Linked DNA regions of Notamacropus eugenii. The protein of the gene in region 3 interacts with the protein of the main gene of each other region in a pairwise test. Links are inferred from orthologs where the notes say so. Each region holds a gene or a part of one and is shown on either strand. Other genes may lie near its edges.

What was found.
Region 1: the proteins of CEP63 (region 3) and CAMKK2 interact in a two-hybrid assay, tested with the Homo sapiens proteins (2 studies listed by BioGRID and IntAct). The link is inferred for Notamacropus eugenii from reciprocal best matches to the Homo sapiens genes CEP63 and CAMKK2.
Region 2: the proteins of CEP63 (region 3) and SPTAN1 interact in a two-hybrid assay, tested with the Homo sapiens proteins (2 studies listed by BioGRID and IntAct). The link is inferred for Notamacropus eugenii from reciprocal best matches to the Homo sapiens genes CEP63 and SPTAN1.
Region 4: the proteins of CEP63 (region 3) and CCNI interact in a two-hybrid assay, tested with the Homo sapiens proteins (2 studies listed by BioGRID and IntAct). The link is inferred for Notamacropus eugenii from reciprocal best matches to the Homo sapiens genes CEP63 and CCNI.

What each region holds. Positions count from the first base shown.
Region 1 is NC_092875.1:36,536,023-36,543,444, forward strand, and holds the start of CAMKK2 (calcium/calmodulin-dependent protein kinase kinase 2), read right to left. Parts: upstream 3,005-7,422; 5' UTR 2,861-3,004; intron 1-2,860. UniProt on the Homo sapiens protein: Calcium/calmodulin-dependent protein kinase belonging to a proposed calcium-triggered signaling cascade involved in a number of cellular processes. Isoform 1, isoform 2 and isoform 3 phosphorylate CAMK1 and CAMK4. Isoform 3 phosphorylates CAMK1D.
Region 2 is NC_092872.1:479,856,247-479,863,819, reverse strand, and holds the start of SPTAN1 (spectrin alpha chain, non-erythrocytic 1), read right to left. Parts: upstream 3,001-7,573; 5' UTR 2,791-3,000; intron 2,225-2,790; exon of another isoform or gene 2,150-2,224; intron 1-2,149. UniProt on the Homo sapiens protein: Fodrin, which seems to be involved in secretion, interacts with calmodulin in a calcium-dependent manner and is thus candidate for the calcium-dependent movement of the cytoskeleton at the membrane.
Region 3 is NC_092876.1:333,964,410-333,972,368, reverse strand, and holds the start of CEP63 (centrosomal protein of 63 kDa), read left to right. Parts: upstream 1-4,959; 5' UTR 4,960-5,039; coding exon 5,040-5,044; exon of another isoform or gene 5,045-5,169; intron 5,170-7,959. Other genes in the region: ANAPC13 (anaphase-promoting complex subunit 13), read right to left, coding at 55-180, 3,602-3,700. UniProt on the Homo sapiens protein: Required for normal spindle assembly.
Region 4 is NC_092878.1:149,075,109-149,082,131, forward strand, and holds the start of CCNI (cyclin-I), read left to right. Parts: upstream 1-4,014; 5' UTR 4,015-4,400; intron 4,401-7,023.

The DNA.
Region 1 (7,422 bases), on a different chromosome or scaffold from region 3:
TGTTGGGGCGAATATGTACAGGAAAGTCAATAATACAGAGTAATTTGGGGTGGGAGGAAATTATGGACAGGCCTCATGCAGGAGGTGAGACAAGCTGAGATTTGAAGGATATTAGGGATTCCAGTTGACAGGGGAGGGGGAAGATGTGAAAAGAAGATTAAGAATAAATACTATCTGTTTGACCCTGGGCAAGTCACTTAACTTTTCTCAGTCTCAGTTTCCTCATCTGTGAAACAGATATATTAACAGTATGTAGCTCACAGGATTATTATGAGAACCCAATGAAATAACATATGTAAAACACGACAAAAATGTTTGTTTTTGTTGTCATTTTTCAGTCATGTCTGACTCTTCATGACCCCATTTGGGGTTTTCTTGGCAGATACACTACAGTGACCTGCCATTTCCTTTGGCAGCTCATTTTACAGATGAGGAAACTGAGGCAAAGAGGGTGAAGTGACTTGCCCAGGGTCATCAAGCTAGTAAGTGTCTGAGGCTGGATTTGAACTCAGGAAGAGGAGTCTTCCTGACTCCAGGTCCAGTGCTCTAACCACTGTGTCATCTAGCTGCTCTTGTATAAATGCTAGCTATTATCGTTAGCATAATTACTATTAATGCTAAACAGGGATAATGGACAGGAGAGAGTACCACATAAGTACCACTTAAGAGGTCTCACTAAACACAGGTCTAACCATGGTCTATCCCTGCCCAAGAAACTCCAGTGACTCCCTATTTCCTCTAGGACCAAATTCAAACTCCTCCATTTGGCATCTAAAGACCTTCACAGTCTGGCTTGGGCCTCGACTGGAAAGGAAAGAGAGCGAAGGCAGGCAGACTAGTGAGGAGGCCACTGCGCTAGCGTGGTAATGGGAGCCTTAACTAGGATGGTGGCTGTGTGGGCAGAGAAGTCAGAAAGTGACAGCACCACACGCTAATCCAAAGCACTTCCCCCACCACAAGCCCAGAGCTACAAGTTTAATTGCCTTCATTTTACAGATGAGAAGAAAGAAAAAGAGAAACCAGAGCAGCACCAGGAGAAAAAAATGTTTCCTCACTTCCAAAAGGAAGGGCTTGAACCCCTTTCCAGCATTAAATCTCCGTGTCTATGACCCTAAGGTCTCCAGAGCAGGGAACACAGACAAGAGTCACCCAAGAAGGAAAGGAAGGATTTAAATCCACGCCAGAACCATACTCAGGATCTCACAGACCCTTAAAAGTATCCAAAAAGAGATGAAGAAAACTAGCTTAGCATACTTAAGTGACTTAGTATATTTAAGTGACAAGGTGACTGACAGCTAGCAATGGACCTAGGGCTGAAACTCAGGGCCTTTGCCTCCAAGGCCCAGAGCCCACTCTACTCCCCTGCATCACCTTCTCCACCCTCATAAGGCATCTCTAGAACCCTAAGTATTAAAATACTGCACTTGTATGCCTTCCATCTAGAGGGTAAATTCCCTGAGATTGAGGCTCACCTTTAGATCCCTCCCCGCCCACCCCTAAACGGTCTGTAGATCACCTTGATAACTAATAAGTAAGTAAATTTACCTTCCCAAATTAGGCAAAAAGAATGATGGGGCAAGGACTCTGACCCAGTCATTGAGTGCCTTCCCACCTAAGATGAGGAATGTCCAAAGTAAAATAACAGTTCCATGGGAAAAGGGATATTCCACCCCCACCCAGTCCACCCTCTAGGAACATTTCTTTTGTCTACCCAGCTCTCCTCCAGCATCCCTAGAAACAAGTGAGATAGCCAGGAGGGGAAAGTTCGGTATCCAGGAGGTGAATGGCTAAACATTCTGTTTTTCCAAGACCCATCTATCCATTATATATAAAGGAGGGAACCGAGGCTTCAGGGCTGTACCTCTGCCTTCTATTGAGCGTCTGACCTAAAGCGCCCACCTCTCTTGACTTTGGTGGGGGCCTGAGGCTAGGAAAGAGAGACAGAAGCAGGAGGTGTGGCTGGCCGGGAGACAGGTGAGAACCGCGAGGAAGTTGGTGGAACTGTGAAAACACCCAGCTGCTAAGATGAGGACAGAAGGGGGCGGGAGGGGGAGAAACTAGGAAAGGCTTCCAGGGCCCAGGACACCGGGGAGGGAGCCGGGAGGGGCTGACAAAAGATGGACCCGATCCCAAACCTCTGCCCCACTATCAGGACTGGCTCGGGAAGTTGCCTGGCTATCTTAGAGCCTTCAAGAAAAGGTCCTTCTCCCCATGGCAGGGTGGCATCTGAGCTTTTAAAACAAACTGTCAGTGAAGGGGAACATCCTGGCCAGTAGGGCCGGTTCGGAGGTGCCCTCGACTCCAAATGGGGAGAGGCCAGGGCTCAGGACAGAGGGCTCCTGCTTCGCCGTGCCTGTGCCCCTGGGTTCTGGGTGCTGGGTCCCAGCCCCGCTGTTCAGGAAGTGATACCAGCGGGAGGTAGGCAGGCGGGCTGTCCCCTGGCCAGACTCCCGGGCTGCCCAGGACCCGGGACCCCTGCTGGCCAAGCCTGGGTACGCACTGGAGGGAGGGGCTGAGGCCGAGGCGGGGAGGGATGGACCTTGAACGACCAGAGTCGGCGGGGCCACCGGGGGCCTGGCGAACTTAGGGCGGCGGGCACCTCTACCCACCCTGCCTCCCCACCCCCGGCGTCGCGGAGCGCCGCAGCTCCAGCCGGCTGCCCCCTCGGCCGTGACCGTGACCGAGCACGGGGTGGGGGCCCCCACGTGGAGGCGCCCCACCTCGGCCCTCTCGGGCCTCACCCCTTTGTCTGCGCCGGCTCGGGCTCCGAGCATCCCTCCGGGAAGGACAGGGACCACCCCGAGCTGGCTGCCCCCCGCCCCGGCCCCTCCCCGTGCGCTGGGAGCCCTCCCGTCCTCACCCGGCGCTGGGTCCCACGCGCGGCTGGCGGGGCTGTCCGGGGTCCTGCGCCCCGGGGCTGGGGCTGCCGCTGCGGCGGCGGCCGGGCTTCTGGCTGGCGGGGCTGGGGTGGCCGGGCCGGCGCGGGCGGCGGCGCCGATTGGCTGCAACCCGGCCTCTCCGCGCCAGGGAGGGAGGAGGACGAGGAGGAGGAGGTGGAGGAGGAGGAGGAACGAGCCGCCGGGTCCGGGGATTGGCCGCCCGGCGCCCAGCTCAGTGGCCCAGATGTGCGCCGCTGTACGCCGGCTCCCCATTGGCTTCTCGGGGCCCGCGGCCACAGGACGGGGAGGGCCCGGGAGGATGTGAGGGATGGATGGCGGGGACGGACGGTGCCACCCTCCCTCTCCCGCCTGGGCGCCTCTCTCCAGCGATCTGCCACCTGCCCGCTGGCTCGAGGGCATTAGTCTCATTGGGCAAATCCGGGGAAGCCGCTCGCGCCAAGTTCACCCAGCGGACAGAGCCGAGAACCCAGATCCCCAGCCCCCACCACCACCCCGCCCGTAATACCTCTGCTTTTCCTGTCCCGCGGGCCACCTCCCACTTAGAAAGAAGAAAACAGATGCCACACACACACACACACACACACACACACACACACAGATCCCCACCAAATGGGACGCTTGCAAACTGCTTCAGGGAAATGTGGGAGCCACTGCTAGGAAGCAGTGGGGAGGGGGAAATCCGGGGAAACCGAGGCAAAGAGCTCCAGCCTCCGGGATGCTGTTCCTCACTTCTGCCTAGCAGCCAGAACTTAACTGGGCAGGAGTGCCCGGGAGTGGCTAGTAAGTAGGCGAAGTTAGACGCCCATTGGAGGAGAAAGGGAGTTATCCCATACCAAGCATCCCCATCCTTGGGAGCCAGCCCCGAGGCTGGGAAAGCTCCGGGAAGCCCCCCTTTCTCATCCCTAGGTACAAGCCGGCCGAGAAAGACCAGCTCAGGTCACGTGGGGAAGGACTCTGAAAGCTAAACAGAAAGCTTTCTATTTCAGCCTAGAAACAGGAAGTCACCGGTGTTAAGTGGACGAGTCGGGTGGTCAGTCCAAAGGCAGATTACTTTGGCAGCGGCGTGGAAGGAACTGGAGTGGGGAGATGCCTTTTCGGAGGCTGCTGCGGTAGTCTAGGTGTTGAGGCCGTGAACTAAGGTGGTAGCTCCGTGGGTAGAGAGACGCAGTGGGAGGTAAAAGAAAAGGCAAGACCTGGCCTCTGATTGCGTGTGTCAGCACGAAGGTGAATGAGAAGTGGAGCATAATACCTAGGTAAGGAACCTGGCTCGTTGGGAGACTGAGGGTGGCTTCCACAGAAGTAGCAAAGTTTGGTAGAAAGCCTTGGTAGTCACCCCTCAGCCTTCCCACTAGGAATTGTCGTAGCTTAGTCGTGTCTGACTGTCCATGACCCCATTTGAAGTTTTCTTGGCAAAGAGACTAAAGTCACTTGCCTTTGCCTTTTCCCGCTCATTAGACAGATGAGGAAACTGAGGCGAACAGGGTGAAGTGACTTGCCGAGGGTCACACAGCTGGTTCAGTGTCTGATTTGAACTCAGTGTCTGCATTTGAACTCAGGTCTTCCCGACTCCAGGCCTGGTGCCCTACTACCCACTGTACCCACCTACATGTCCCCCCACTGGGGTACAAATACGAAAAAAGAAAGACAATCCCTGCTTTCTCAAGGCGCTTCCTATCTAATGGGGTAAGGCAACAACCTTTTGCCCCACTTATTGGAGGGTAGAGCCATGAACTCCAAAATCTCCAATTAATAAAGAACTCAGCACAAGCACCTCATTTCCCACCTGGTTGCTCTCCTTTAGGACTTCTTTGACCCTCCCTCCAACCTTACTTACCTCTTCTCACTTTTCAGTTTCCTTTAGGATATGATCTTCTCCCATGAGACTGTAAACTCCTTGAAGGCAGAGACTTTTGGGGGGGGGGCTATTTGTAGCCCCAGCCCTTAGCACAATGACTGCCACATTGTAGTTAATTGTAGTTAAACATTAATAAATGTTTATTGACTATTGTTGGCTATTGAGGGGACAGTTTGAGGGAAAAGATGAGTTCTGTGCCTGTCTCACACACACACATGCATACACACACTCAATAAACTCCAGTGGCTAAAAAGTATCAAGGAAAACTGCCCTGATATTCTAAAACTAGAGGGTAAAATAGAAATGGAAAGAATGCACCAGGCACCTCCTGAAAGAGATCCCAAAATGAAAACTCCCGGGAATATTATAGCCAAATTCCAGATCTCCCAGATCAAGGAGAAAAATACTTCAAAGAGTCGAATACCGTGGAGCCACAGTCAGGATAACAACATTTAGCAGCTTCCATATTAAAGGAGTGGATGGCTTGGAATATGATATTCCAGAAGGCAAAGGAGATAGGATTACAACCACAGTAAAACTGAATATAATCCTTGGGGGGGGGGGGGGAATGGATATTTAATGAAATAGAGGACTTTCAAGCATTCCTGATGAAAAGACCAGAGCTGAGTAGAAAATTTGACATTCAAAGAGAAAATGAGAATAAATAAGTAAACATGAAAGAGAAATCATAAGGGACTCAATAAAGTTTAACTCTTTACATTCCTATACAGGAAGATAATATATGTACTTTATCATTATTAGGGTAATTAAAAGGAGTTTACATAGACAGTATAGAAGTGAGTCGATTATGAGCTCCAAAAAAAATGAAGGGATGAGAGAGATGCACTAGGAAAAGGAGGCAGAGAAAGGTAGAATGGGGAAAAATTTCTCACCTGAAAAGGTGCACCAGAAAGAGCTACTACAGTGGAAGAGAAAATGGCAGGCAATGCTTGAACCTCATTGTCATCAGAATTGGTTCAAAGATGGGAAGAGAATGAGATAAAGGGGGACAGGAGATGATAAAAGGGAGAGCAGACTAAGGGAGAAGCAAAATAGACTTCTGATGATAAAAAAGATAAAAAGACAGAAAAGAAGAAACAGAAGAAAATGGGATGGAGGAAATACACAAGTAGTCATCCTAATTGTGAATGTGAATGGGATGAGCGCAACCATAAAATGGAAGATAAAAAATAAAGTAGATAAAAATGGATAAGAAACCATAATCCAACAATATGTTGTTTGCAAGAGACATACTTGAAACAGAAAGACAGAGTTAAAATAATGGGCTAAAGCAGAATCTAATATGCTTCAGCTGAACTAAAAAAAAAAAAAAAGTCAGGGGTTGTAATCCTGACCTCAGACAAAGCAAAAGCAAAAGCATATCTAGTTACAAGGGATAATCAGGGAAACTATGTTTTGCTAAAAGGTACTCTTGACAATGAAGTAATATTAAATTTTTTGCAGTAAGTTTCTCTGATAAAGACCTCATTTCTCAAATATATTATGAATATAGTACTGAGTAAAATTTATAAAAATAAGTATCATTCATGTATAATCTATATCAGGTTACCTACCATCTTGGAGGAGGAGGGAGAGAATTTGGAATTCAAAAAAATTTTTTAAATGTTAAAAATTATTTTTTCATCTAATTAGAGAAAAATGTTTTAAAAAAAAGTGCTGTTCCTGAATTGATAAATGGCCAAAGGATATAAACAGGGAGTTTTCAGAAGAAGAAATCAAAGCTATCTATAGTCATACAAAAAAATGCTCTAAATCAGGGGTGGGAAACCTGCCTTAAGGCCACATGTGGCCTTCTAAATATTTAATTGTAGCTCTTTGACTGAATACAAATTTTACCAAACAAATCCTATTGATTTTTGATCCACTTTAAGGCTCCGAGTTCCCCACCCCTGCTCTAAATCATTACAGATTAGAGAAATGCAAATTAAAACCACTCTGAGGTACAAGTGTTTACTTACACCTATCAGAAATGACAACTGCTGGAGGGAAAGTGGGAAAAACTGGAACACTAATGAACTATTGGTGGACTAGTGAACTGATCCAACCATTCTGGAGAACAACTTGGAACTATGCCCAAAGGGCTATAAAACTGCATACTCTTCGATCCAGCAATATCACTACTAGGTCCGTATCCCAGAGAGATCAAAGAAGTAGGAAAAGGACCCACATGTATAAAAATATTTATAGCAGCTCTTTTTGTGGTGGCAAGGAATTGGAAATTGAGGGGATGCCCACCCATTGGGGAATGGCTGACGAAGATGTGGTGTATGATTGGAATGGAGAACTGTTGTGCTGTGGGAAATGATAAGGGGCAGGGGGAGGTTCAGAAAATACATAGCAAGACTTGTATAAATTGATGCAACTGGAAGTGAGAAGAATTGAGAGCTCATTGTGTACAGTAACAACAAGGTTGCAATAATGATCAATTGTGAAAGACTTGGCTACTCTGAGCAGTACAATGATCCAGGACAATTTGGAAGGATTCATGATGAAAAAATGCTATCCACCTCCAGAGAGAGAACTGATGAACTCTGAGGGTAAACTGAAATATAATTTTCTCACTTCCTTATTTTTCTTGCTTTTTTTAAAATAGAGTTTATATGGAAATATATTTTGAATGGTTTCACATGTATAATTGATATTGTA
Region 2 (7,573 bases), on a different chromosome or scaffold from region 3:
TGATGGAAGAATGCAGTCTAAAGGGGGAGGGGGAAGAGCAAGATAATATACTGCTAAAGGCAAACTGAACAACCAGGGTAAAATAAAGAGATCTATAAAAACCATTTGGGTAAATTTCAACTTCAGAATTCTTTTCTTTCCTTCCCCATGCCTTAAAGAATTAATGTAGCATATCATTTGCCACAATGCTAAATTTTATTTTTTTAAAAGCAAGCCCTATTTCACCTTTTATTCAGCTCTTTTATTTATTTTTTTTAATAAAGATGTGACTGATTACTTTCAAACTACACATAATAAGGTTCCTTAAGGAAAGGTGAGCCTCCCTTTCCTATATTCTAGAGTGTTTCATTCTCTATGATTAGTTAACACATCCTGAACAAGAAAAAACAAAGATTTAAGCAAAAAATGTTATGGTATTTATCTCTATACACTATCATAACCCAATCCATTGAAATGAGCCCAGATGAAGTCTGAGCTTCTTCTCCCAAATATCATTTCCTGTTTAAAAACAAAACAAAACAAAAAACTGGTCCAAAGGGAATACACTAAAAACATGGAAGAGAAATGACTATTTGAGGGAACAGCTGCTGTACTGTATAAGCGTGATCAAATCATCAGCTGTAGGAGTTTTTTGAGTTTTTTTTTTTTGCCTTCTCTTACTCTGAATTTACCATCAAGGCACTGCATTCCAAGCTACTGTACAGGGCTAACTGCTGCAGATGTACCCTTGCAGTTGAGTGCATACCTAGCACAATCCTTGCATAGCTCAGAAAGGATTGATTACAGTCAGTCCAGCAGGCAGGCTTACTGGACGCCTATTGCCCTTGACACAAGTTCAGCAATGGGAGGATTGTGCTGGACCTCTCCCAGTTATCCAACTCCCAGTATCTGCAATAAGCCCCTCCCTTTCACAAGGCTCATTCCAAAGAACCAGAATGTAATAAAGCCATTTTGAGCAAATAATATCCATTACTTAAAATGGCTTGTCAGTCTGAAAGGAAGATGTTACAACTTGACGAATAAATTAAATTTTCCTATTAGGTCAATTAAAAAATGTCCAATAGAAACTACATCTGTCCATACCACCCTTCAATTCTTTTCCTGACTTTGGCAAGGTCCCTAGATAACATCTAACACAGTTTAAGCGTCCCTCTGCTAATTATTGATCCACTTACCAAAAAAAGAATTAATTTCCTGCAGTAAGAAGTTGACTGCAGTATGATCTTTTCTCTGATTGGCCTCAATTTGACCTTGCAAAATGCACAACTTTAGTTAAAAATTAAAAAAAAAAACTTATGACAAGACAACCAATTACTTCTTCAATGATTTTTACATACCTCAGCGACAAGTACAGTGCTGTTCTTATAATATGCATCACTTTCTTTCTGTAAAAAAATCACCTCCCATCCCTTTGTGCTTTTCTGTCCTCTCTTTTCCCCACCCACAATATGGTGATGTATTTAAACCTGCATTCCCTGCTTACGGCAATTTTTTCAATAGATCACTAAAATACTGGTAAACTGTCACTCGAATTCTCTTCTATTCTCCCTCAAAAGGCCTGAATTTGGGCTTTTTCAATATGACGATAGTAGAACAAAGAGCGTTAAGTATTTCAGGATTCATTATGTAAACGCTTATTTTTCAAGTTGATTCACCTCATCCCAGCTTTCAAAGTCTGCCCAGTTACTTACAAATTTAGCTTTTAAACCTAAGAACAGATTTTAAAGAGGCAATTTACACTCTTGAGTTACAGACCTTTAAAGAAAACATCTTTAGAAAAAATTCACCATAGGGATTATTTTCAAACAACGGCTCCACCATTCAATGAGAAATTGATACAAAAAGGCAAATAAGTATCTTATGAATCCCAAGCACAACGGAAAAAAAACCTTTCTAACCTATTAAGGTTTTATTTGAACGGTTTTACAATTATAAATGTTTGCATGATACCAACTCGATTGACAAACCACAGCTGAGCTGGAAAAAAAAAAGGCATGTTTAGTGGAATTATAAAAAATGGTTCCTAAGGTCTGTTAAGGGCTAGAAAGATGCAAACTGGGAAGGGGGGCAGAGATGTCAAGGGTTCTTGAGGGATTTGTCTCGATCTCCCCTCCATCCAAGGACCCGCACGCCAACCCTGACCTCTCACCCGCTGGGGACTCGGTGAAGGGGGCTTCCCAACAGGAGCCTCTCACCCCCACGCCTCCTCGGAGGGGGTCTAAGCTGCCCCGACCCCCAGCCACGTTCATCCGGCAGCCTAGGCAGGGAGGGAGAAAGCAGAGCGGTGGGTGGGCTGGGGCGGGGGCCGGGCTGGCGGGGAGGGGGATGGGACCAGCTGGGCCGGCGATCCTCTCAATGACATTCCTGCCTCCGTCCGTCGGGGGAGGCTTGGCCGCGCGCTCCCCCGCGGGCCCCCGGCCCCCGAGCGAGGATGCGGGGGCGCGGGCGGGGCCGGGCGCGGGCCCCGCGCTCCGGAGAGGACCGGCTGGTTCTGGGCGGCCGCCCCCGCCCGAGCTCACCTGTCGGTTTCCTCCGGTCTCCGCCCCGCCCCTTCCAGGGAGCCCAGCGCCTCGAGCCCTCCCGGGGACCCTTTCTCTTCCCTTCCCAGCGTCCCCTCGGTCCCGTGCACCCCCCCAACGCTAGGGTGTGCCTCCCCACCTCCACCCTCACCTCCACCTCCGTCTCCCCACCCCCAGGGCTTCCCAGGTTCCCCAGGCCAGCCTCCGAGGCAGAAGAGGAAGCCGCCCTCGCCCGGCCCTGGGGGTTGAGGGGCACCCCAATGCCTCTCACCGGTTCTGGGGCCGGGGAGTGGGGTTCGCGGGGACAGAGGAGGGGATAAAAAGCTCGGCTCGGCTCTGTTCTGCTCCGTTCGTTTCCGCCGCGGCCAGTGAAGGCAGCGCGCGCTCCCCGGATCCTTTTATAAGCAGCCCAGGCGCGCTCCCGACGGCAGCGCGCAGGAGGGGGGAGGGAGGAATAGTTGGGAGCGGCGAAGAGGAGAAATCACGCAGCAAGGGGCGGGGAGGAGGGGTAAGGGGCGGGGCTTTCGGGCCTCGCCCCAGCTGTTTGGAGCGGAAAGGGCCGAGAGGTTCCGGAAGGAGCCGAAGGGGGGTGGGGATTGCGGAGCAAACTGCGTGGGAGTACAACGAGAAAGGAAGACGCCAGCGGGTGGGGGCCGAGAGCGAGCCCGGCTCGGCGCTCCTAGGGTGGGGCCGTTCTCCCCGCTGCCCCCGCCCCTTTGCACAGCCTCCATCCCACCCCACCCCTTGCAGAGATGCTGCGAAAGGGCAAAGAGCCGAGTTGGTGTAAGCGTAGAGAACGTCCAGTCCTAGGGTGGGCAGTCAGGACCCCTGGACGCACTGCCCCCGTCCCACCCTGATTCCTGTAGCTGGGAGCGTGCCTGCGCTCCTGCCCTTCCCCCGTGCCGAGGCGGGGGGTCCCGCAGGCATTCAGGCCAGTAAAAATAGCCCTTGCAGCCTCCGCTGCAGCACCCACCTCCTGGGAGAGACGGGGCCGAGACACGCGGGGCTAAACCGAGAGTGAGAACCGCAGCCTCCCGGGTCGGCGTGTCAGAAGCGCATTTAAAAACAGCAGATAGCCGGGGTCTGAACCTCGGAGACCCGAGGACAGATGGGAAGAGAGAACCTGCCACCTTGGCTAATAATGACAGTTCCCCTAGGAGGTTGAGGGCAGGGAGCACACGGCAGGTTGTTTCCTGAGAAACAGCAGCAGGGTACATTGGAAATAACGTTGGATTTGGAATCCTAAAACCTCTGTTCAAGCCTTCCATTTATTAACATGGCGATCCCCTCAGAATGTTCATCCGTAAAATGGGGACAATGCTTACATCACAGATGTGGTAAGAAATGAGATCAATACGTGTGAAAATCTTTTGTAAGCCAAAAGAGAGATATATAGGGGGGATATTTTAAAAGACATTATTTTTCGTAGACTCCAAGGCTTCCAGATCCCTCCCTTGGGGAGGAAGATTTGCAGTATGCTTCCCTCCCTCCCCCCCTCAGTTCTGCTAAAAACAGGAGCTGGAAGAAAACAGCCTTTAGGAGCAGTGGGAAAACCTAATTACCATGCTGTCAGAGAGAAGGAGATCTGCAGTGCTGAGGTGGATAGCCTCAAAGCCGCATCAGACTGCAGCCGTGTTCATTAAATAAACATTCAAGGCACTGGCTCTGCGCTCAACGTTGGTCCAGGCCCAGCTCGGAGGCTCCCCGTACTCGGATGGGCGGGTTCCTTCCTTTGACTTAGGAAGCTCTGCCCAGATTCCTAGCTTCCCAGTACCATACAGTTCGGGGAGGGAAATGTTTTTTCCAGGGGAAGCCATCATCCCAAAGGAAAAAGATGGCCACTCCCAAAAAGCTTTGCAGACTCAGAAAAATGGGGCAACAGGGCAAAATGTTTCCTGAAACCTTTTATATAGAGAAGACCAGAGCTGAAGGATTTCTCCCTAGGGGAATCATTTCAGTTAACAGCTGATCCTTTCAATATCCTTTTCCACTTCTGGCAGCAACAAAATATCTAATCAAATATTCAGCTCAGTGTATAAAATGGCTAACATCATCCGTGTCACAGGAAGCTATAGCTACCTAGAATGAGAATACCAATTTCCACCAGTAAGGAATGCATTTAATTTCAGTTATGGAGGGATAGTTATAAAAACCTTTTTATGCCTTTGTCTCCCACTGAAAAACACCCTGGCCTCATGAATGTTTTGCAGTGAGGTGGGGTTCCAACTACTAATGCCAAATACAAAGGAGCCTAGAAGCTTCGATACTGGACAGTCACTATAGTGATTACAGAAACCGCAATCTAATTCCTGTTAAGATATTAACTAAGGCTTTACCTGGAAAATGGTAAATCAGTATCAGTTGATGACCACCTCACAATTTAACACTAAGCATTTTAAAGGTTTTCCTAAAAGATCTATGTCAACATCTGCAGTTCCAATTTCCATTCATTTAACAAGAATTTATTTATTAGGAGGAATGTCTAAGCAGATTATCAAAGTATCTCCGTGGAAGAGCTCATTTAATGGAATACACTTTATACTGCTTTTATATCTTACAGGCTTTATCAAGTTCTGGCCAAGTACATTTTTTTTTTCAGATGAATACATACAAAATCAGGGGAAAGTACTAATTGCCTTTTTTCTTTTTTTTTTTTTAATGTATGCTCCACCCTCAAAAAGCACTTGCTTCTTAACCTGGAACTATTACAAGTTATTTGAAGGCAAGTGTAAGAGAATGCTGACTTATATTTCACTAACCAAAGTATCTCCTGAGAGAGAATATTGTGAAGCCTTGTGGGCTGGTAAAGTCACACTTGTTCACAAGTCAACATTTTGAGTTTGGTAGTATGGGTCCTCATTCTTTCCACCACTGAATTTCACTGCCTCCAAATGCCTTTTCATTGTGTAAAATTTCATCCAGGTTTTTCCAGATATCCTCCAGAGCATCTACCCAACACAGTGTGGGTTTTATGTGGTGTAGTTTCCTCAGTAGTCTATCAATTCACTGGTTGTTGGAAGAAAGTCTCATGTTTACCATACCAACAGATAAATTAATGTTTGTAGGCAGTCTTAAAAAAAAAGCCAATCAACAGACTCTTACCACCTGGCTTCTTTTCTCCCACTGTCACCACCAGGGCAGGAGTAGGCTATACATGGGACCAAGGGACATTTTGTAGTTTTATCTGTTTTATTGGTCACTGAGGCTGAAGAATTTACCACCTAGTGGCCAATCTGAAGGTGGTTCGAGAAAGGCCTTAGGGTTGCCTTTATTACCTCTGCTCAGGGCTCCTATTTTCAAAAATGCAGTATCAAAAACTCAGTGTAATCAGTTCATTGAGTAATCAGGCTCCAGTTAGTTAATTCACATTGATAAAAGTCACAAGAGGAGAAATAAACCAGAACATCAGTTTATTATATCACGATGAGAGACATATATAGAGGAACTGTGCTATCACCTGGGTGCTTCCTCTGTCAACATACTGGAACCTCTCTAAAGAAACGGTAAAATCTCTTTTAAAGAGTTGTGGTGGTAAAAACATTTTGTCATCTTGTAGCCAGCCTGGTGATGAGCTTCTCCAAACTTTGCTAAGCTAGTCCTTAGATAAGACATAAAATTTCCATCAGTAGGTCTTTCTAATTTAGTTTGAACTCGCAAGAGGAAAGATGCATTTGAGAACCCAGTCACTTCCATGCCATCATCAAGTAGGAGTTTAATGGAAAGGGAAATATTTTAAGTTAACAAAGTAGTCTGAAAAGTATGACTAGTTATATATACAGCGTGGCCCCTTGTTTCTAGTAGGTTCATTTAGGAAGCTAGAGCTCAAGATGGTGGTTAAAAGGACATGGAAAAGAGAAAAGAAAAATATCCAGATCTGATGTGGAATTTTTAAATATCTAGGATTTGTTCTCATTTCTATAAGGTCTGATCAGTGAACTCAGAATATACCTACCTTATAAAGTGATGTTAATCCACTACTGCTCAGATCCTCTCCACACATCACTCCTTGGGTTGCTTTTAGTTCCACCACCTTTCCTTTTGCCATCTATGGGTAACTTTATCTGGCCCAACTCCGGAAAATATTCTTCCCAGGGAAAGGCCCCCAGGGCTCATTTGAAATTGTCTGGAAGACAGCTGACTTTTTATAGATAAGGGATATCAAGGACTTCTGTCCTAATTCTAATTCATATTCATTATTTTCATTTTAAAGTTATATAGAGCACAAATTAAAAAGAAAAGGAAAATGGGCTCACATCTTGAAATAAGGTCAGACCTGGAGGAAAATTAGACATCAGGTAAGAACTTGAATAAAAACTGAATCAACTCACTACTACTTCAAAGAAATATGCTTATTCCATCAGCAATTGCATCTATCCAATAGATTTCTCTCTGTGTGATCTTCAGTATCAGTGAGCATCAAAAACCTATCTCCTCCTGCCCCTATCTCCATTTTCTTATTTGTAAAAAAGAGGAAGAGTAGTACTGTGAAAAGAGCACTAGATCTAGAGACAAAGAACTTGAGATCATATCTCACCTCTGATACTACCTGTGTAACCTTGGGCAAATCAAATCATTTAATCTCTCTGTACCTATTTCATCTATAAAATAAAGAGATTTAACTAGATGGCCTCTAGTTCTAGATCTACTTACATAAATTATATCCACTTGACATGTCTAAAGATTACTAAGTGACCTTGCAATTACCAAATAAAATACTATGTTAACAATCAACTACTTCTATCACCCCCCAGGTGGACAGAAGGGGCTCAGCTATTGACACCTAGCTAAACAGTTGATAAACTAAAAAAAAAGAGCAATTTTCCCAAGATCAGAGAATAAGAATCCTGACCATCTTAACTATAATTATATTATAGACTCCACACCATGATCCCCAAAGACACAGCCAAAGTCATAAAGAATTAACCATGCTGTTCTTACAAAGACCCAACCAAGAGCCAACTTGCTACAAGTTAGAAATAAAACTTTTATTATTTCTTTTTTAGAAGTGTAGTCAACCATTCACAGAATGAATCACTCCATGTCACACAAGCATT
Region 3 (7,959 bases):
ATAAGAAAACATTTTGGATACAAAATAATCTGTCCATGGAAGATAAGAAATTAATTAGTTTCCTGCTGGGGGAATGTTCTCATGTAGATACTGTAAGGCTAAGTCTGTCCACTTCATCTCTTGTTCTTTGACGGATTCTGTTGTGCCACCATTGTCTTGTTCTGGTTCAGGAAGTTCATTCTGAAAATGGGAAAAAAAAACTCAGAATGACATGTTCCAAAGGAGCAAATATTTCATAAAATGAAAGCCAGAAATTCAACTAATAATCAACAAGCATTTATTAAGTGTCTACTACATGCTGGGCCCTGAGGACACAAAGAAAAAGTGAAAAACTTCCTGCCCTTAAGCAGCTTGTATCCTACAAGAAACATCTACTAAATGTTGGAGAAGATGGAACACTAATTCATTTTTGGTGAGGTTGCAAGCTAATCCAACCATTCTGGAGAGCAATTTGGAACCATGCTCAAAGGGCTACAAAAGTGTGCATACCCTTTGACCCAGCAATACTGCTTCTAGGACTGTATCCCAAAGAGATCATAGAAATGGGAAAGGGTCCCACATGTACAAAAATATTTATAGCAGCTCTCTTTGTGGTGGCTAAGAACTGGAAATTGAGGGAATGCCCATCAATGGGGGAAAGGCTGAACAAACTGTGATATGTGAATATAATGGAATACTACTGTGCTTTAAGAAATGATGAACAGGAAGACTTTAGAGAAGCCTGGAAGGACTTATATGAACTGATGTTGAGTGAAAGGAGCAGAACCAGATCATTGCACACAGTAACTGCTACAGTGTGCGAGGACTTTTTCTGGCAGACTTAGCCCTTCACAGCAATGCAATGACCTAAAATATTCCCAATGGACTCGAGGTAAAATGCCAACCATATCCAGAGAAAAAACTATGGAATTGGAACACAGAATGAAGCAGCATATTTTCTCCCATGTTATATTTTTTTTGTTTGGGTTTTTTTCATGGTTTCTCTCATTCATTTTAACTCTTAAATGCAACATGACTAATGTGATTAATAAGAATGTATGTGAAGAACCCATATAAGATTGCATGCCATCTTGGGGAGAGAGGGAGAGAAAAATCTAAGACTTATGGAAATGACTGTAAAAAACTGAAAACAAATGAATTAATAACAATAATAAAAAGAAACAACATCTACAAGGACATATCAGGTATGCAAAAGAAAGTGAAGACAAGGCCTCCTGGGAGTACGAGAGTCATTACTGATCATTTTACTTCTTTTGCTGCTTTAAGAGAGGTCCTTTTCTTTTTCTTGGTATCGCATATATTTGTCAAGGGTAAAATGCTGTAGAAGGAAAGAAGAATCAGCAATTTTCTAAGTCAGTGTTAATTTTATAGTTTTATAGGATAATTATGCGTTAAAGATTTTTTGGTCCAGTTAATGCCAGTGAAAAATACTCATTTTATGTGAAAGTCAAATGTACTTGAAGAAATTTTAAACACTACTAACTATTCACTATTAAAACCCTCTTCTGATGCTGGGTTGTAAGAGGTTATGTTATCTTCTAAAGGGTCATTCCCAGACTACTTCTTAAAGAGGCCTATTCACTCAATGGGCAGTACCTTCTTCTAAGTGAATACCTGAAAAGTCTGAGTTTCCCCACTGCATCCTGGGCCTTCTCTAGTCATCCTGATGAATATCTGGTCACTGGATCCAGATGGCCCAGGAGGGGAAGTGAGACTGGTGACCTTGCACAGCCCTCCCTCACTCAAAACAAAGTCCAGTGCAAGTCATGTCATCATTTCTCTGGTATCATGGTCTTCTTCGAAAATGAAGGATGAACACAACAACCAAGCAGGGAAGGCTCTGGGTACAGAGATGATAATACACTGTGTATTTTGTTAAGTGAGACCATTAAAGTTCAGAGGTGTTAATCACATGAAAGTTGGATATCAAATGAGGAACATTTTTTCAGACCCAGTGACTTACAAAGACAGTTATAGTATAGAAAAGCTGTGACTTACTTTGGTGAAAGGGGTGGAAGAATTCACACCTATAATGTGATGGATTCTGGATGTACTAATAAAGGTAGACAAACTTAGCTCAAATAAAAAATTAACACCAACAAAAGAAGTGTAAAGCAAATATATCAATAAATCATGGGTAGAAAATATCTGATTCACTGGCTCCAATCTGCTCTTGGGTTGACTTGAATTGGCCTAAGAAAAGTATTCTCAAATTCTGGGTACATATGTGAAAGTTTCTGAGATAGATACAGGTCTTTATCCTACACAATGGATATCCTTGCTTTATTTCAAGGGTTAAGCAAAAATGTTATTTCAAAGTGGGGTTTTTGAATGTTTTCTTTTAGGTCCTCAGTCCATTTTACCTTTTCTTTTTTGATCCTTAACTTAAGGTATATCTCTTTGTTATTTGTAGTTATTGAATAGTTTTATATTTTCCGTTCTTGATTTTTAAAAGTAGGTAACATGAACGTTGCATAGTTCCTTCAAAAATAGCTAAAGTTGTTTTTACCTGCATATGACCTGTGACTATTTCCCCTTACCATCCCCCCACCTCTTAACAGAAAAAATATTCTTCCACCTCTTTTCAATTATTTTCTTCTCTTTCAGTAGGTCCTTATGATATACATAGGATCTATCATAAGCCTTCATTAAAGTGAAAAATAATATAATTACAGTCTCTTAAAAAGTTGGAAGCAATTTTAGAAATTACTCAGTTTGGACCTGAAGTATGAATTACCCCAACATCTTTACCATCCTATAAAGAGTGCTATGGTAATTTGTTAAATTTTAACTCAGTAAAAAACAAACACAGGACTAAACTTAAAAGTCCAGGGACATCTACAAACGTGGAAGTTTAAGTCTTTTTTTCAGAAACTTGGTAGGTGTAGAGAAGAGAATAGAAATCTCTCAGAAAATCTTGGAAAGGTCTAGCATCAAAGTATGGAGGTTTACAAAGAGAATAACTGAATGACAGATGAAAGTAAAAGAAAGAAGAGAATATTATTTAGTTGTTCTAAGGTATGTTCTTAGCTCTTTTTAATTTTTTCCATTGATTTCAGTGGTTCTGACTCTTAATTATTCTTGACTTATCTCTATATAGTACATTGATAGAAGCACTAGACTGACATTCAGGAGATCTGTCACTAACTAGTTTTATGTTCTTAAGCAAATTACTTAACCTCTCTATGCCTTGGCTGATTTGCTTTGAAAGGATTGGAAGAAATAATTTTACATCCATCCCCTCCTCTCTATTTTTCATTGCTTCAGGTGGAGGGCCACAAAACTAGGAGGCCTAGATCAGCAGTGTGAAATTCAAACAGAAACAGACCTATTAAACTCTTAAGGATCCCTGTGGCTGTATATTGATTAGAAAACCACACATTAACATTATCTTTGTTCTACTGTATTTTTATTTAAGAACATTTCTTAATTAAATTTTAATTCAGGCCCACTAGGGAAGTATATTTGATAACTCTGGTCCAGATAAACTGCTCCCACTGTGAGTCATGTGCCCTTCCTCCTTTCTGCTTTTGCTGGGTTTGCTAATTAATTGTTACTTACAATGGTATACCCATTCCCTTATTCATAGCATGTTACCTACCAGTGGTATTGCAACGTCTTCATAGGGCAGCTTATCTTCTCTCCAAGCATCATCAATCAGATCCAGAATTCTTCCATCCCTCTGTACCTCACTGTCCATTCTTTTGTGATTTTGATTTTCTTAGACCTATGGCCTACAAGTTACAGTTCAGAAATTTGGTGATGAGTGAATTAAACACACACACACACAACTAGTTAATTTTCTGAATTAGTCCAAATGTACTTTAATTGTTTTGTGTCTGTGGACGTGGCCTGAGCTCAAAATAAACATAAATGGATGACAGCTGGCTGACAAGTTTTTGATTCTTTTTTAAAAAGAATTTTACTTCAATAAAGTAAAAGGATCCATTTTCAGTATTTATACCCAGATCAATGAAACCATGGATGTTTCAACTTTTTCTTAGCATTTATCTAAATTCTTGTATCCCACATTCTTTTCATTTTCTTCAAAGTGCTTGCTGCCCTCTTTTGTCATCTACTATTCCTCTTATCAGAATACATGTTATAAGTCATCACTGATTAATTTGTTCTTTTTAATTGTCACATACAGTGTAAGCTCCTTAAGTATAGATAAGGATCACTGATTTTCATCTTTGTATTCCTGACTGTGTGGCTGAGAACTTCCAGCAGAAAGCAGTGAAAAAATGTTTGAATTGTAATCTTATATGGCTATTGAATTCCTATCCTGAAACCTCAATTAGACCAGAAGCTCATTTAGAGCTGAGGCTGTGACTTAAAACAGTTTTATCACCCCTGAGGAAGCAGCACACAATAGGCAGATTTTGGCAGATTTTTACAAACTTTCAGAAATTTACAAACTCTGCTAACTTTTAGATTAGCAGAGGGCATGGCACATACTGCTTAATAAAAGCCCTGGGACTATGAATAGTTGTAAGTACTATACAAAATCAAGTAACAGAAGAGAGAGACACACACAGACACACAGACACACAGACACAGACATACAGACACACACACACAGACGTTCGTCTTACTGCAGTTTGGGACGAGCGAGGCCAGAAGAGAAAGGAGAGGGAGGGAACGACACTGCCCTCCAGTATCCTCCTTAGGGGACAGAAGGGTGGAAGAAAAGAGCCGAGACTCTCCTGGGGTGAGCACAAGGGGACAGGGGAGGTACAGCTGCAGAGCAGCAGCATACAATGTAACCAAACCAGCAGACCTGGAAAGAATGTGAAAGGGATGCGCATGCGCATGCTCCGAGTCTCGCGCTCGTTTCTCCGGCGATCATCGCGCAGGCGTGTTGGGGGAACCTCCGCTCCAGCGCTCTTCCGCCTTCAACCGCCGCGCCAATCTGCTCCTCCGCCAGCCAATTCGCCGGAGTCACGTGATTCGTAAAACCCTTCCCCTCCCACCGTTTAGGCCCAGCGAATGACAGTACTAGGCTGAGTCAACTCGATTACCTTAGGAAAGTGGGGAGGATGAGGTTGGTTCAATTCATTAAGGGGGGAAAAATTTTTTTTTAAAGTGGGGAGGGGGCGGAGGGAGGACGAGTGGGCGAGCGAGGAGGCGGTGCAGAAACGTCGGCGGCGGCGCGCGCGGCCGGGAAAGGTAACGGCGGGAGAACGAGAAAGGGGCGGGGGCGGACGCTGCCGCTGCTGCGGACGCCTGGCGGGGCTGGGTGCACGGCCTGCGTGGCCGCGGGGCTGAGGCCGCTGAACGGCGTCGACGCGCTGCTCCTTAGTCCGCAGGCGCGGGGTAGCGACTGCGCGCTTCTTCCCGGCGTGCTTTTCGCCTGGCTGCGCGCTGAGTGCGGCCCATGGCTCCGCAGGGCGCGTCGGCCAAGCCCGCCGTCAGGTGCCCGCTCGCCTTCCTCGGGTCCGAGGGCGAGTGCTGGCGGCTGGGGTTCGTTCGTTAGCCCGCCTCGGGCCATGCTTGAAGTGGGTTCCTCCACCTCCCCTCTAGAGGAGGCGGCGGTGATGGGGGCCACGTGTCCCCGGCGGGCGATTCAAAAGCAGTCCGAGTGCGCCTTGTGCTAGAGCGACTTAGGCCGAGATTATCCTCCTCCCCCTCCCTCTCCTCCCCCGCTGGCCCCCGAGAGGCCAATGGACCTAGGTCCGGGGTTCAGTTCAGTTCAGACGTTAAAGCACTTACTAAGTGAGGGCACCGTGCCAGGCGCTGGAGGTATTAAAAAAACCCATCAGCTGGGCAAGCCTCAGATTTCCCTAGCCCGCCGTTCTACAGGGTCATCAATTTGCTTCCACTTGGACCTGTCGCTGTGGGCAAGCCACTTCCCCGTGCAAAATGGAGGCATTCATCTCGGAGGATACCTAGATACTTTGTATCCCTTTGCTTGGCCTTGTCTCCCCTATTAGTTGTAAGATACGTGAAGACTGGCCCTGCCTAGCCTTTTTCTTGTATCCCCATTGCTTAGCCCAGTGACTTGGCACACAGTAGGTGCTTAATAAATGTTTGTTGAATTGACAAGTCATCTGATTTAATTGGTCTTCAGTTTCCTCATGTGTAAAATGAAGGGGGTGAGGGATGGGGATGCATTAGACCAGCTAGCCTCAGAAGTTCTTTCTCTCTCTATGAAATGATCCCATGACTCTAGAACCTCTAAGGTCCTTTCCAGCATGATTTGAGAAGTTTAGGGAAGGTACCCCCTCTGATTAATAAGGATGTATGTGGTGTCTAGGGAGGATGAATACTCCTGGTGTGAGGGCTGTCATCCAACTGTCACCTGTGGCTCCAAGAAGTTGTAGCATGTGCTGTGGTCACAACCCACTAAGCCAAGTTTAGAGTAACCCACTGCCCTGGAGCCCTTCATTAAGTTGCGGGGAGGGATGTCTACCTCACGCATGGATAGACTTCCCCAAGCAGATCAGAACATTTTGTTCCAAGAGCCATGCAAGGGCTGTGGAGTGCTTAGTGGTTGGTCAGACATCAAAGAAGCCAAGGTCATCCACTGCAGCCTTCCATCAATCTACTGATTTTTGTTTCTCCACTGAACTTCAATCGTTCTGGAAGAGAGAGTGAGGCTGACTAGCCCTCTTTGAAAAGGAAGGAGGAACAAAAACAGCATTTTGCAGTTGTGGTGCCTGAAGGGTCTATTAACCCTTTCTGTTCAGAATCCTGGGAGACCTCAGTTAAAGTGAGGATTTCTTCCTAAAGAGGATAGTACATCAAGCTACTTGACCTCTCTATAAATACTTTATTATGAGATTGTTGATCAGATCCTTTCCAAGATCCTTTTACCATGGGTATTTATCTAGACCAGGAGTGGTTTGAGGCCAGAGGTTTCCCACCTTCTGTCTAGACTAACCTCAGCCCTCCCTCACTCAAAACAAAGTCAAGTAAAAGTCATCATCATTTCTCTGATGGCATGGTCTTCTTCGGCAATAAAGGACAAACACACATCTCTTTTACAGAGGAACCTGAACCCTATGGCCCATTTCCCAGAATTTCTTTAGAAAAACCTAGTCATTTTTATAGCAACTTTTGTTTATTGCTTTTTAAAAAGATGACACCTCATCCCATGTTTTTCCTAGTTCTAGTGATGTTGTGAACATTTTCAGTTATATAAGGAATAGAGGTCCTTAACATGAAGGATTTCATGGTTAGATTTGGGAGAGTCCAGGAACTTGAATGGGAAATTTTTAAAAAAATTTTTACTAAGCAACCTATAATTGAAATTTAGGTTTTCTGTCAATTACACATGTAGGTAATAAACCACAGCATCATTAATAGTACTTGTGACTTTATCACTGGTAGAAATCACAAATATTTTTATGCCATGTTATAGTCATTGCAGATACTTTGGAATGTTATGTATGCCCACCACTACTTTGAAATTACTGTGGATTTCAAGGGCTTGTAGTCTTTCCTGTCTGTGGGCACTGGTGAGACATAGCTGGTGAACCATTGGAGTCTATAGTTTTCACCAGATTGCCAAAGGAATCTATGACACAAAAAAGTTTATTAACTCCTGCAGTAATTTTCAGTTGCCTGAAATAACTTTGAAGTTTAACCCCTTCCTCCTTCTCCCTTTCCCCCATTGACAATGGGAAAATTTAGTGAAAGTATTTTTTTTCTTTATTAAAAGTGGTCTGTTAGAGTAGAAATACCTGTATCTGTATAAGACCTTGCACACACTCATTTTAAATGTTAAATTACAGTACCAAATAATCAAAATTTATCCAAATTAGTGATGATGCTAAGTGCTCTACAGAATTTGGGTTTGTCTGAATGTTTGAGAAGGTACAATGGCATAGGTATTAAGTTGATACCAAATTGTTACATCTGCATGTATGAAAATTATAAGTAAATTAAGGCATTATGCTTTGTTAACTTGGATTATAGTGACCTCATCAGGTCAGTATTGTGCCTGAATTCAAAAGA
Region 4 (7,023 bases), on a different chromosome or scaffold from region 3:
CTAGCTGCCTCACAATCTGACTCTTTCCTGCCTTTTCAGTCTTGCTACACTTACTCCCCTTCTTTTTTAATTTTTATTGTTGAGTCCTGTCTGACTCTTTGTGACCTCATTTGGGGTTTCTTGGCAGAGATACTGAAGTGGTTTGCCATTTCCTTCTCCAGTTCATTTTACAGATGAGGAACTGAGGCAAACAGAGGTTAAGTGACTTGCCCAGGGTCACGCAGCTAGTAAGTGTCTGAGGCCAGATTTGAACTCAGGAAGATGAGTCTTTCTGATTCCAAGCCCAGTGCTCTCCATCCACTGAGCCCCCTAGCTGCCCTGTTCCCCTCTATGTACTCCAAAACCCAGCTACTGTAGCCAGCTTGCCGTTTTTCACAAACCTCCCTCTCTGGGGTGTGCTTATTTATACTTCCTGCCCAAGGCATGACATGACATTCCTCCTCAATTCTGCCTTGTAGTTTCCCTAGCTTCTTTAAAACTCCATTCTTTTTTTAGTGATAGAAGTGAAGGTGGGGGTGAGAGAGGTTGGACAGACAGAAAAGAGATTTTTGTTAATTAAAAAAAATCTTAAAAACAACATTTTGCAAGAGATCTTTCCTGTTCTCCCCACTGTTAAACCCATTTGTTTCTTTTAGGTTTAACCTTCTGTTTACCCCATACATATCTTGCAGTAACATGCATGTTGTCTTTCTCATTAGAAAGTGAGCCCCTTAAAGGCAGCAACCATTAATCAATAAACATATATTAAAGTGCCTACTATGTGCTAGGTACTGTACACCAAACCATGTTTTTGGATTTCTTTGTATCCCCAGTACCAAGCATATAGTAACTACATTTAGTTTGAGCCTGAGTTCTGAAGGGCTTTAAAAGCTAAATAGAAGAAAAATCAAATTTATATTTGATTTTAGAGTTAATAGTGACTAGGGGAGTGGCATGAGAAGATTTGTGCATAAGGAAAAATAATTTTGGCAGGAGTATGTAAAATAGACTGAAGTGGTGAGGGACTTGAAGCAGGATGACCAGCCGGGAAGTTGTGGCAGTAATCTAGTTCAGAGTTTATGAGGCTTGGACTAAGATGGTTACTGTGTAAGTAGAGAAAACAGGTCAGATGTGAGAGATATTCTTAAGATGAAAATGACAGAATTTGACATCTGATGGGATATTTTGGGTGAAAGAGAGGGACAAATCCAGGATAATGCCATGGTTAGGAACCTAGGAGATTAGTGGGGGGTGGGAGTGGGTGTTATACCTTCAACAGAAATAGGGAAGGTTGGAATGAGGGAGGATTTGAGAGAAAAGAGAAATAGTTCAGTTTTAAGATGTGTCATTTGAACTGTCTTAATGACATCTAATTTGAAATACTCCATGAGCAGTCAGTGCTTGGGAGCTGAAGCCCGAAGCAGAGACTTGGGCTGTATATATTGATCTGGGAATCATCAGTATAGAAGTGATCGATAGTGTTATGGGAATTAGTGAGGTCACCAAGAGGGAGAGTAGAGAAAGAAGAGTAGGGAGCCTTGTGGGATACCCACAATTAGACGGCTTGATCTATATCAGAAAAGACCCCATTGGAACAATCAGACATGCAGGAGGAGAACCATTTCTTTCTTATTATTTGGTGGTGGAGGGATGGACTTGTGGTTGGTGGAGAGAATTGTGAGCATGACTGCATAAAGGTCCAAATTGGTTCCAGAGATTTTGGGGAGGAATACTTGAACAGAGGACAACCTAGGAAGGTGGTGAAGAGAGAAACCTTAAAATGATGGACGTGCAAAGGAAACCACTCCAATCCTGTTCATGGACTTGCTTGAAATTTCAGAGGCAGATGAGAATGCGTCTCCTCTGGATGAGGTCATCTTTTCTTGTTTGAGCTGAGATCTTTTCTTGCTCCCACCTATTACACTCCTGTGTATTCTTTGGAATATTCTAGTTTGTATAACTTTCTATTTCTACTTGCAGTCTTGCTTGGATAAATGGGTTTACTTAATATTCACTGTTTGGGATGGTCTTTTGTGTAATCAGTGTTTGATAGAAAGAAGTTGGCCAGTGAGCATAAGCTAAAGGCAATCAGGGAGAGGGCTTTTGTTCTGAATCTTTTAGACTACCAATATTTGAGGGAGGCAAATGGATATAATTTTAGCCTAATACACTTTTTGGAGATCAGAAGTAAGAGTGCTCTCCTTTCAACAGTCAAGCCAAAGCGCAAATCATATCTATCCATACCACCTACAAACTGCATCCATGGATTTAGACAATCCATGTGGGTACTTACAATAAAATTAGAGAAAAGGTATAAATACCTTAATTCTTTGTCCACACAAAAATATTTCTTTTATTTCCTCAAGATTTTTGTCTGTTTTGAGATTAAAACTTATTAGATCATGCAGTGTCCATGCTCAAGGCAGAAAGAGGTAAAATTGACTTCAAGTCAAATGATAAAGCACTGAAAAAAATCCTAAAATTTTATATTTAGACAATCAGAACAAGGATTAATTCTTAACTGTACTATGGATACAAAAAGGATTACCAAAAGGTAAAAAACTGTCACATCTCTTTTGAGAAAAAATCATATCATCATGCATTTGATCCAAGGGATCTAGACATAGAAATCCAGCCTTGGACAGATACCCTCTTGAGGCTTAAGGATAACCTCTAGTTTTCCACCTCAACCATCTTTTCCTTACTTGTGGACAAAATGTTTCATTGTTGTTTTGCTTGGTCAGAATCCTTGGTTTTAAATGTCTCTTTTCCGTGCAGAAAATGGTTGTCCCATACCAATACTACTAGCCAGCATTTGTACAATGTATTTGAACTGATTTATAAAAACCTCCCAACTCTGGGCAGTAGGTGTTATTATTATCCCCATTAAATTTACAGATGAGAAAACTGAGGCTGGGAGAGGGTGAGTTGCAAGTGATAAGGAAGGATGTGAATTCAGGTCTTCCCAATTTTAGGTCTAGAACTCTTAAGCAGGGCTCCATCCAGCACTGAGTACCTTTCAGTTCCTTCTTTTGGGACTACACTCCACGGAGCTGAACATACATTTTCAGTCATTTCCACTCTCTAGGTCCTCCATAATCTTAGTTCCTTCTTTCTGATAGTACCCCTACTTTACCATATATGCATATATATGTGTATCTATAGGTACAAAAGCAGCTGTTTTCATGTTTTCTCCTCCACGACTGTGAGCTCCTTGAGGGCTGGGACTGTCTTTCGCTTGTCTTTGTATCTCAAGTGCTTAGCACAAAGTAGGTTGACTGACTTCAAGGAAGTCAAGAAGTTGGGGGTAAAGATCCAGAGTTTGAGGAACCCCCCCCAAAAGCTAAAAGAGCCCGATTTCCCCATTTCCCACTCCGTCTTGCCCCAAGGACTGAACCAAAATCTTATTCGTGCCTAGACTTTTAGGTGTCTCGTTTTGGGGCCAGAGGCTCTGCATCCCCGTCGTGGGTGATTAGTAAAAGTATATCCAGCTTTATCGTCCTGGGCAAGTCATTTCCCTCCTGGAGGCTTCAGCTGCCTCATCCATAAAGTGGGTTCCATCGGGTTTGCAAAGTGCTAACGTACACATGCCGGCCAGCGTCACTGAATCCCTCACCCCAGGAGGGGCGGAAACATCAGAGAACGCCCTCCGGGACACCGGGCTGGCCACCAGCGCCGGCCACCAGCGCCAGGCAGAGGTCCCAGCCCGCTCGCGTCGGGCTCCCAAGCCCAGGGCCAATGACGTCTTCCTGGGCCCAGGAGCGCATGCGCTCTTTCCTCTACCCTCCGGAAAGGGGGGTGGGGAGGAAGGGCCTGCGTCAAGTTGAATCACACCCTCACGCAGAGCAAATCCTTCCGCCTCCAGGACAAAAGAAAAAAGAATCCCGAGGCTTCCCGGCCCGACTCGCGCCAGTTCCCGCATCCTTGCCCCGGCCTCTAGACGCCGGCAGGCCGTAGGGGTGGTGGGGGCCGGGGGCCGGGGGCCGGGGGCCGGGGGCCGGAGCGGGAGGGCGGCGGCGTCTGAGGCCGGGACGCGGATCCCTGCGCGGGGGCGGGGCAGCGCTCCGAGGGCCGCGCTCTTCCTCCCCCTCCCTCGGTCCCCGGCGGGCGCTCGGACGCCGGCGCTTGGCTCTCGCCTCGGCTCGTCGTCCCTGTGCCCTCCCCCTCTCCTCCCCCGGCGCCCTATGGCGAGAGGGAGCCCCCTGCCCACCCCGGCAGGAGGAGCGGCACGGGCGGCCTTGGGCCGGGGGGCGCCATGGGCCTGAGGCGGTGACGGGCACGGACCGTTGGCCCCCGCGCGCCGGGCAGGATGAGGCGGTAGCGGAGCCCCGGATGCCCCCAGTCGCCAGCGTGAAGCCTACTGCTCTGCCGGGGAGGAGGAGGAGGAAGAGGAGGAGGAGGAGGAGGAGAAGGAGAGGAAGGTGAGCGCCCCCCCCCCCCGCCGCGGTGTAACGGACCCCCTCCCGCGGTCACGCCCCCCGGGCCGAGCAGCGCTGGGCCCGGGGGGGAGGGACCTAGACCCGCCCCCTCCCCCCGCGCCCTCCCTCGGTGGTGGTCTCCAGCTCCTGAAGTCCGGGACCCCCTCAAAGTCTGCTGGCTCAGGGCACCCCTCAAAGTCTGATAGTCCCGGGGGACACCCCCAAAGTCTGCTAGCCCCGGGGCACCCCCAAAGCCTGCTAGCTCGGGGCACCCCTCCCAAAGTCTGATAGTTCAGGGGGTCCCCAAAGTCTGATAACCCCGGGATACCCCCAAAGTATAGTGGCCTCGGGTCACCTCAAAGTCTGATAGCTCGGGGACCCCCCCCAAGTCATTAGCCCCGGGGCCCCCGCTGGCGGTCGAGGCAGAATTGTTTGCGCCCGGGCTCGAGGGGGATCTCCCCTAGGGCAGGGGCTGCACCCCCCCAGGCTCCGGGTCCGGGGCTTCCCTGAGTGGGCCGTGCCCTCTGTGCCCCTGGTCCTCCAGCGGCGTCCCCCTCGGACGCAGCCGGGGTGGGGGGTCTCCTGCCTTTGTTTCCATCCCAGGGCTTGGCACCAAGCAGCGCCCGCCTGCCTCCGACCCCCCTTGGTCTTTAGACTCTGGGCCCCCCGCACTTGGCGCGTTAGACGCCTCCTGCGTGCTTCTTGACTCGAGTGGGAGCCCGTGATCGCCCCGAGAGGGGCCCCGACTTCTCCCGTCCGGGCCTCTGCTCTTTGCCCCTCGCAGGGCGCGCACGGCTGTCCGGCCCTCCTTTGTGTCCGCGCAGCCCAGCCCGGGCCGGGCTCCAACTTCTCCCGGGTCTGCCCTAGCGTGCGCGCGTGACGATCGCGGGCCGGAGCGGCCGAGCGTGCCGGGCCTTTGTTCCCTGCCTCGGAGGAGGCCGCCCTTTGGTGCCGTCTGGTACCGGGCGCTGCACGCCGCCGGCGGCTGCGGGCCTCCTTTTGTGCGGGCAGGGACTATTTTTTAGGGGGAGAAGGAGGAGGACGAGGAGGAGGAGGAAGGGCTTGCCTTTGTATGCTGGGCGCAGGCTTTGCGATGGACGCTTGTGGCCCGACTTGAGGACGCGTCTCCCTGTCTCACTAGGTCCAGACCGGGCCGGCGGTCCATTTTGGGCGACGGTGCTACACCGCTGGTGCCGGTTCTTTGTGCGCGTATGCCCCATGAAGGAATGCTCACTGTGTGCCCGGAGCTTTGGCACCTCCTTTTTTGGGGGGGAGAGGAGACAAAGCCTTGCAGGTTGAACTTTGGTTTGACCACTAACACAGTCTGGGCCTGTGATTTTTTTTGGTGAAGAAACTCCCTCAACCCATGCAGGTTGGCACCTTCTCCGCAATTTATAGTCTCTGGGGATTCTCAACCCGGTGTCTGTGAGCTTTTAAAAAAAAATTTTAATAACGATTTTAGTATAATTGGTTTCCTTCGAAATCCTACATATTTGATATTATGCATTTAAAAACATTCTGGAGAGGTCGTAGGCTTTACCAGACTGCCAAAGAGTCCATGACCAGAAGGATAAAGAAACCGGCTCCTAAGATGATTGTCTAGAACATGGCAAAGTTGAGTGACACGGTCACAGAGATGGGACTTAAGCTCGTTTTCCTGACTTCTAGACCGACTCTCTATTCACAATGTCAGGCTGCCTTTCTTATGACAACTGAAGATTTCATAAACACTAAACCTTTGGAAAATTAAGAAGGAAAGAAGCAAAATGTCCAGTATTTATTAAGTGCCTTCTGTGTGCCACATGACAAGGAAGGCACACAAAAGCCCAAACCAGTTTCTATTGTGAAAGCAGACCCTGGTTTCTCATAGGAGAAATCTTAAAAATGATATCTTAGGACTTTTAGTCAGTGGGTGAACAAACATTTACTTGAGAGACAGCATGGTGTAGTGGCATAGTGAGCTGGCTTGGAAGCCAGGAAGGCCGGGGTGTAAGTCTGGCTCTTTAAACATAACTGACTGTGATTCTTTAGTGGTCACAACCTCCTAGTGCTCTAGACAACTCTTTAAAGCTATAAGCTGTAGAGAAAGCACTGGTCTCCTTCACCTGCGGAGTTCCCCAAACCAGTGAAACCACAATGCAGTCCTTATGCCTCTTCCTGTTACTGATAAGACTACCCTAGGTGTGCCTGAGATAGAAAATTGATGACCGCTTGCTCTCCTGAAGATTTTTGTTGTGCTGAGGAAATGTTTACAGGTACAAAAATATGAGAAGGATATTATACATATGCAAAACATTCAGTGATGTTTGAGAGGGGTACTAATTACTTAAGAAAGGCCTCTTTAGAGGCTCATAGAGAGAGAGGACTCTGGGGCAAAGAGAGCCTTGGAAAAGGCATTGGTGGTGATGTGGGAAACTCCAAGTAGTACCTCTGTTTAGAGCAGAGAATTTCCAGGGTAGAAACAAATTCTAGTGGCCAAAAGGCCTTGGAGGGGTGGTGTGGGAAGGGGAGGGGCAGCTGTGTCTTCCTGTTGGCCATGTATATGAGTAGCCAGAGGGCTTTAAAAAAAAAAAAATCTTCTGGCAAATCCTTACTCCTTCCTACCCCCTTTTAGGGCCCTAACATT